Rattus norvegicus: one gene and its partner. The protein of the gene in region 2 interacts with the protein of the main gene of each other region in a biochemical or structural test. Links are inferred from orthologs where the notes say so. Each region holds a gene or a part of one and is shown on either strand. Other genes may lie near its edges.

Region 1 (4,599 bases), about 40 Mb from region 2:
GAGGGTCCGTTCATCTGCCCTGGAAATGCCCTCACAGATATGCCCAGCGTGTATCTTCTAGGTGATTCTAATTCTACTTAAGTTGACAATCGTGGCCAGTTATCCTAACTCTATGATTATCTTTTCTTCGTTGCACTCGCTCACGTTTGTCTACATCCTCTCGTTAGGATGTACGCTCCCCAATGTCAGGGACTTGTTCTGTTTGTTGTGTCTTACTGTTCTATTACTACAGTCTAGAACAGTGTTTCGCATGAACATCTGTGGAATTAAGCCTAAGTCTCTATTCACAACACCCATGTAATGGCCTTACACAGGTTAAGTGCTCAATAAATGTTTGTAAGATTAAATGGAGACCTGAAATTTGCAGGAGAACTGGGAGCATGGATTTGAGTCAATTGGCAAGAACTTTCGTCTTTCGGTTATGCTACCTAGCTGTGTTAGCAGCACTGAGCTTCCAGTTGTTGTTGGTAGAATGGAGGTACCTTTAATCCTGCCTTGACAGACATTTTTGTTTGCACTTCAGACTTCGTAATGATTCAGTCATGGTCTGCTAAAGATAAAACAAGGATAGCCACAAAAAGCTAGCCTGGGTGACATTTGTAATACCACCATTCAAGTTGTTGAGGCAGGATGATCACTCTGTCTCCAAAAAAAAAAAAAAAAAGATTCTTATGATTATCTTTGCCCTCCCTTCCAACAGCGAGAGCCAGGGGAAGCTAAGCAGACCTCCTTCAATAGGTATTCTTGGGTGCTTTACCAGACCCACAGAATTGGCTTCTTTCACTTCAGATCTTTTCTTACCACTTCCTTGTACCTGAACTCCCTTTCTTCTTAACATTTCAAGTCTCTTTTCCCTAACATAACCATGGAGTGGAGGCAGAAGTGTCAGAGGCAGGCGTAAGTAGTTTTCTCCTATTGCCGCTTCTGAGGTTAAGTCTCTCGCTGGTGATGTAAGAAAGGTCGACTGTGAAAGATAGTCATTTCTGTCAGGGCCTAGGGAATGAGAGAACAAAGGTCCTGATCAAGAGCCGCTCACAGACCTGGATGCTGTCCTTTTCCTTGGTCCCCTGCAGGAGGCAGCACTTCTCGCACCCTGCCCAGATGCCCCTTTGGTCGGTTCTGTTGCTGCCTTTACTTCTGGTGGCCCTAGCTTAGAGCAAGCTTAGGGACCCATTGAGCATCTCACTGCAACTCCCTCTTGCAAGCGGGGCGGGGTGGAGTGGCCAGAGGACAGCCTGAAATTGACAACACAAGGACACAGGATCGCAGGATCATCCTCTTCAGCTTTCTAATGGCCCAAATCTCAGCAACCTATACTAGGATCGCCAGTAACCCCAGAGAACAGGGGAGATGTGTCTGAGCCGGGGGGCGCCTCTGCTTCTGTTTCTTTAAGGAGCCGCTGTTTAGCATTCCTGCTGCTGCCGCTGCCGCTGCCTGACTCTGCGTTCTGATTGGCTGGAATCAATTGAGAAGGGAGCCAGGGAGAGATGCTCTTGACTCCACTCAGATCCATCCTGGGGACCTGAGCAGAAGAGGTTCTCGCCGCACCTAACCCTTGCCTGGGAGCCCGATTCTTCTTTGCCGCTGGGCCTCGGCCCAGAAGCCACAACGGGCGACACGGAGCCGCCAGTGCTGGAGGGGGAGCCATGGGTGCGGGGCAGCGTGGGGGCAGAGGCCCCGGGACGCCCGCCGGGCCCCAGGCCCCGCTCCGCCCGGGCACCCCCACGGGTGCCCCCCCCTTCTTGGTCTGAGCAGTGCGAGTGTGCTAGGGAGCCCAGCGGCGGCGGCGGCGTGGAAACTGGCGTGGGCTGGGGGGTCCGAGCCGCGGGGGGCAGTGCCATGCACAAGCACCAGCACTGCTGTAAGTGCCCCGAGTGCTATGAGGTGACCCGCCTGGCCGCCCTGCGGCGCCTCGAGCCTCCTGGCTATGGGGACTGGCAGGTGCCGGACCCCTATGGGCCAAGTGGGGGCAATGGGGCCAGCTCCGGTTATGGAGGCTACAGCTCGCAGACCCTGCCTTCACAGGCAGGGGCTACCCCCACCCCTCGCACCAAGGCCAAGCTCATCCCCACAGGCCGAGATGTGGGGCCAGTGCCCCCTAAGCCAGTACCCGGCAAGAACACCCCAAAACTCAACGGCAGTGGCCCCAGCTGGTGGCCCGAGTGCACCTGTACCAATCGGGACTGGTATGAGCAGGTAAGGACCGGCGGATGAGGAGGAGGGGAGGCTGGTGGGACAACCCAAAGGACTAGGAATTGGGGTCTAGGAAGTCTGGGGAGCAATAGAGGTTGCTGGGGTTCCAAGTCTATGGATCTGAGCCTTAGCACTGCAGCTGACCAAAGAGAGACTATTGAAAATACATGTTTCTTCTATGTGTGTCTGTTTAGGGGGTCTCCATTTGGAGGGGATTGGGAGGAGCTGTTTGTATCAGGGGGTGATGGTATGGCGGAGGGGCACATTTTCTAGTGTGGGGGATTTGGGTTTGTCTCAGTGCAGGGCGGGGGGTGGCAGTGTCTCTGTGTCTGGCAGGGGGCGGGAGGTTCTGCGGGGGTTGTATGTGGTGTGTGTCTCCATAGGAGGGGAGGAGGGGGCATGGTGCTCTGCGTGGGGGGGACATATGTGTTTGTATGTATGTTGGGGTGTGTGGAATAAAGCAATGGAGCTTGTGTGAATGTATGTAGCAGAGCCCATGTGCCCAGATGGCCAAGCTTCATCTCTCCATACCATGAGTCCCTCTCCATCGCAGTCCCTTTGTGTGTGAACGTGCACATGGATATGTGAGGATGTCTCTGAATGTGGAGGTGTCTCTGTAGATGAGGCTGCAGGGATAGCTGTGTTTGCCTGAGGGTGTCTCCATGTATATGTGTGTGAGCATGTGGCTGCAAGAGTGTACACGTGTGTGTGTGTGTGTGTGTGTGTGTGTGTGTGTGTTGTCCCTGATGAGAAGCGCTTGACAGGCAAAGGTGGGGGGGGGGCAAGACACGTCCCAAGCAAGGCTGAGAGGCTGCTGAGAAGGACAGACTCTTTTGTCCAGGCTGTTCTGAAGTGTGTGTGTTGCGGGGGGGGGGGGTAGGGGGTGTTAAACAAGCCTTCTTGCTCCAAAGCAGGCATATTGCCTGGAACTAGGCAAAGGGTAGCTGCCCTCATGCAGGGTCTGCCCTGAGTAGGGCATGGCCCTTATAGGTACACACAGATGTGAGAGAGCTTAGCTTCCCAGCTCTGATTTGGCACAGCTTGGGAGCCCCTGGGTGCTGGGCACAACTCCGGCTTCCACTCCCAGCCTGAACTGCCAGCTTAGAAAATGGAAGGAGCGTCTGTGGGAGAAGCAGCAAAATGGAGGCTGGGCCAGCAGAGCCAGGTCTCTGGCACGCATGGCGGAGGGCCTGTCTAGTTCTTCAGTTCTGCAGCCCCCAGGGTGGAAAGAGAGGAGGAGAGGCTTTGCTCTCTGTGGCTGGTGCTGACTGCCCCAAGCTGGTGACCATTCTGGCCACCCCTGTCCTCTTCAGAGAATAGGATGTGCTTTTTACCTAGAAGCAAAAGAGGGGGATTCTTGGACATAGGAATCCTCCTTTCTGAATGTCTGTTTGTCTATACCTCTTCCTATGTCCCTAGTCTTGGTTCCTTGCCCTCTCCAGTGAGTCTCCTCTTTTTTGCCCCTCCCTTACAAACACACTCTCATACTTGGCCTGCCCAGTGGGAAATAGGTGCTAATTCCAGGGCTGGGCCCGTTGGGTACCCTATCTTTACCCAGGCTGATCTTTGGATGGCTCCTGACCCTAGAGGCAAGGTCCCTGAGTGGAAGTGGGACTAGAGCTAGAAGGTGGATTACTGGGAGCTGGAACCTCTAGGTACCACCCAAACTAAGCTTGAAGCACGGCTTGTCACATGTGGAGCACCCATGGTACCCTAGGTACATGAAAGAGCTGCATGGGCTCTTTTTTGCTCTGAATTGGTTGTATTATACTTCAGTTGGCTGTATTGGTTTGGGGGTCTCTGAAGAACCAATGATTTTTCTCCTGGGACCAGGGTGAGGCTGCAGCTGAAGTCCTACTCACTGCCTCCTTAAGACCACAGAACATAAAGGAGGAGATAGGGGAGGCATGGCTAGTCAGCACTCTTGAAGCCAGTGCCGCAGAGAATGAAGGTGGGAAGGGGGAAGCAGAGCAGAATGTGTTAGAAGAGCCTTCACCCTGGGTTTCCAGCTGCTCTCTTCTGGGGCCAAAACTTAAGAAAGGTATAACACAGCCAGAGGAATTTGGACCAGTGCTGGGACACCTGGTGAGAGAGACAAGGAGGTTCCTTCAGTCTTGAAAATGATTATGGGAAGGAGGGAGCAGGTGTACATGTCTGTGAAGAATCAAATTTCCACTTGAACAATGGCCACAAGTATGTCCTGTCTGGAAGGCAATGTCTATTTGTTGCTGAAAACAACCTGTGTTTTTTTGAACCCCTCACTGGCCTGTATTCCCATGGCTACTGTGTGCTAAAGATCACAAATTCTGCTTCTACTGTCTATGGGTCATCAGGTTCTCTGTCATGGGGAATTTTGTCTACCCCAGTCCTGTCCTACCTTGATTTGTCCTCAGACTCCTGGTCAGT
Region 2 (3,814 bases):
ATAACCTGTCCCCAAATGAGACAGCAATCTAATGAGGACTAGAACACCTAGATAGGAGTTGTATGGATTTATTATTTACTTTTTTTAACCAAATGGCATCTGTGAGGCCATGCACACATTAACTCTTTCATGCATGATGAGTACTATCAGAGCTATCAGAAATGAACTGCTGAAGGCAGTGCCATGGGTCACCATGCGAAAGGCTCACCTTCACATCGAGCACATGCAACTCCACCCTCACCAAACTCTCCTCTTCAGTAAACATTTCAATCCTGTTGACATGGCTGAAGTCAGCTAAAAGAGCCACCAGGTTGGTTTTGGTGTTTATGACATGGCTTATGCCATACCGGGGACCCACCAGAAGAGTCACTTCTGAGCGCTTCTCTGCCTGCTAAGGAAAGAGAATGACAGAGTATTTCAAGGTTCAGGACTTTTGAAGCATCATCTAAATCTCAGACTGAGTGACTCTTTTCCTAAGATCATGATGTATTCTTTGGAAAGTTTTTCTGGGTTATATTGCATTAAATCATCCAATTAGGTGGACTCAGATATGAGTATATAGGGTTGCCCATAAATGATGAATAACATAGAAAGTAAATGTAGTCATTATACAATATATTTATGCACATCAAAAGCTTTTAGAAGTGAGAAGTGTCCCCCTCCCTTTTCTATCTCAGTGATTGAAAAGGCACCATTGTTAAGAGTCCTTTGATTCCATTTTTCCCCCAGGGCTTCTACAGCAATGCTACTTAGATCGAACATTTCTCAAGGTATCTCCAGACTGTGGTGAAGTTGGTTAGTATTGAAAACAAGGAAAGATTCCTAGCTTCTTTATGTTTATCATCCAGGGCAACTCCTTGAAGACAGCCTGTGCTGTGCTGTGATGTTTGGCCAGCCTCTGGCTCCAGACAGAAAGAAAGAAAATGCAATTACCACTAATGTTGCCTTGAACACACGGCCCCCGTATAGTCGCAGGTCACTGAGGAACTTGAGATAGTGGACCTTAGCTTGTAGTGCAGAGAGCTGAGGAAAGAAAAGAAAATTCAAATGTGGGCTTCATTGTGTGGGACTCTTTCTATTGTGGAAATAAAGGTACAAGACAATTTGTCACTGTGTGAACCAAATTATTTTATGTTTTAAGACACTGTTTCATGTATCTTAGTCTATCTTCAAATTTCCTAGTTAGCTGAGGATGACCATGAACTTCTGATCCTCTTGCCTTCACCTCTGGAATGTTGGAATTACTGGTGTGTGGCACCATGCCCAGTATATGCAGTGCTGGGGTAGAATCCAGTGCTCTGGGTTCAATACCAACTGAGTTGCACCTCCACCCGCAAAGGATGCTTTTATTGCTAGGGAGATGGGGTATGAGAAAGACTCTTCAGCAGGAAGGCAATATATTACTATATCCTGTGTTTTGGGATAATGAACTGAAATGTAACACCAAGATTCAAATCTTATTGCTGCTTCTGGAAGAGAAGTGTGAATGTGTGTGTGTGTGTGTGTGTGTGTGTGTGTGTGTGTGTGTGTGTGTGTGTGTGATGAAAGATGTTGAGGTAGGTGCATGAGTATAGACACATGGTTCAGTCCATTCAATAAGTGAGATATTACTCTCTGGAAATGTATGCTCACTGAAAGGTTACAATAGGTAAGGGACACTTTCTGACTGTGATTAGAGACAAAGGAGTGTTGAGTGTAAATTCTCTAATGACATAGGAGACTCACTTGCACACAGAATTTGTGGGGCTGCCTGAGATCTTTGCAAATCTTTTAAGCAACCTTGCACACCTCCCATCTCAAGTTTCTTCTACCCTTTTCAGAGTTTCAGGGTGAATGAACTTTCTGAACTCCAATCACAGTGAAGTGGTTTGAGTTTTCTATGAACATTCTGGTTTTGTTAATGCAACTCTGAGAATCTATGGAGTTTGATGAACTACAAATATCTAGACAAAATGGATCTTTATAGAGACTTCAAAAATGGAGGCTTTCGTGTCATTTAAAAATGAGGAATTTAATTAGAATCTGTACCTGTCTTATATTGAATGCATAAGGAATGTTTATCAAAGGTGAATTTTCAACAAGGTATGAATAATCACCATTAAACAGTAAAGACTGGAAAAATTTCTTCACTCACGTATGACTTTCCAATTCCCCTTCTATCTATAACAAGAGATATTATCTTCTGTGTAGTGATGATTTTTCACCATTCATTCACCCGAAATCTTGTCAAAAACGCCCAAAATTTAAGCCAACCACTTTATTGGCTGGAAATGCTATAGTAGGAAGCGTGCACATGCGCGCGCACACACACCCACACCCCCACACCCCCCCCCACCCCCCCACACACACCCCACACGCATGCATGCGCACACGCACATACACATGCACACGTGCACACACATATGGGTATATAATAGATAAAAGAATGAACTAATATTGGTAGTTGTTAATTATCATAAGACTAGGCCACCAAGCCTGAAAAAAAATCAAGTCAAACTACTTAACAGACATCGATTTTGGGGAAATGAGAACAAAAACTATAAAACATATGTGTGTGTGTGTGTGTGTGTGTGTGTGTGTGTGTGTGTCTGCCTGTTTCTCTGTCTCTGTCTCTGTCTGTCTCTGTCTCTGTCTGTCTCTGTCTGTCTCTGTCTCTGTCTGTCTCTGTCTCTGTCTCTCTCTCTTTCTCTCTATCTCTATCTCTCTCCATATATATGAGTGTGGGATGTATATGAGTGCACGTGTGCATGGAGGACAGAGGATATTACATAAGGATATCAAGAGCCAGTTACCTTGCTTCATTTGAGAAGGTATTTCATAGTCCTGAAGCTCATAAAGTAAGCTAAGGCTGGCAGGCCAGTGAGCCCCAGTGAGCTCCAGTGAACTCCAGGAAGCCTGGGTCCATCTCCTAGTACCGGGATTATAAGTATTAACCAGCACATTCAGCATCATTGCTTGGGCTCTGGAATTGAATTCAGTCTTCCCGCTTGTGTAGCAAGCAGTTCTCCATCTGAGCCATTTCCCCAGCCCTAGGAAGTGTAAAAGTATTGACCCATGGTATCTTTCTATTTTTATGAAGCTGGGTGCTCACAGCGAGGTGATAGCGGACATTTTCCATTGAAACTAAGAAAGAGAATGTGGCCAAGAGTGTATTGAACTTGGTTATATCTTTCAAAAAATGTTTATGGGGTGAAGCCTTATAAAAATGACTGAAAATAGGATACCATGACCAAAGAACTCCCTACATGGATGGTGATTTGTATTGAGGTCAGACAAGTTTCTCTACTTTATATCAGCTCTAGTGTGTACTCAGGTTGTTTCTCATTTTATAGGCACAGAGATTTAAGGCTCCTTGTCTCTGTACTTACTGGAATCTTTGTTCTTTTATTACTTCTAAACCACGCCTTTCTTTTTTTCTGAACAACAGAATACTTTTAAATGGTCTTTGTGCTTCTCTTAATAAAAACAGAAATGAATACAAATATTTTAACACTAATGATGAGTGGCAGGGAAATCTTATCCTTCTCTTTCCAAAATTGGATTCAATCCAATGGTTATCAGTGGTGATGGTAGAGATTTTGTTCCTTAGGGCATCCATGTCAATATGTGGACATATTTTTAATAATAATTAAGGAAGGAGTGACACTGATACCTGTCCTGTACAGATCAAGGATGCTTCGTATCTCGCAATGTCCAGCCCAACACCTTTATGCTTCAGCAAGGAACAACCTCTTACCAAATGTCAACAGCTCCCTGGGAGATAATCCTAATGTAATGAATACAGTAACTGGCCTGCAGGGCCCCTTACTGGGTG

What was found.
Region 1: the proteins of Frmpd4 (region 2) and Dlg3 interact in a test that uses a peptide from one of them, tested with the Homo sapiens proteins (2 studies listed by IntAct, with this or other methods). The link is inferred for Rattus norvegicus from reciprocal best matches to the Homo sapiens genes FRMPD4 and DLG3.

What each region holds. Positions count from the first base shown.
Region 1 is NC_086039.1:69,898,509-69,903,107, forward strand, and holds the start of Dlg3 (disks large homolog 3), read left to right. Parts: upstream 1-1,494; 5' UTR 1,495-1,839; coding exon 1,840-2,196; intron 2,197-4,599. UniProt on the Homo sapiens protein: Required for learning most likely through its role in synaptic plasticity following NMDA receptor signaling.
Region 2 is NC_086039.1:30,365,424-30,369,237, reverse strand, and holds part of Frmpd4 (FERM and PDZ domain-containing protein 4), read right to left. Parts: intron 1,024-3,814; coding exon 934-1,023; intron 392-933; coding exon 209-391; intron 1-208. UniProt on the Homo sapiens protein: Positive regulator of dendritic spine morphogenesis and density. Required for the maintenance of excitatory synaptic transmission. Binds phosphatidylinositol 4,5-bisphosphate.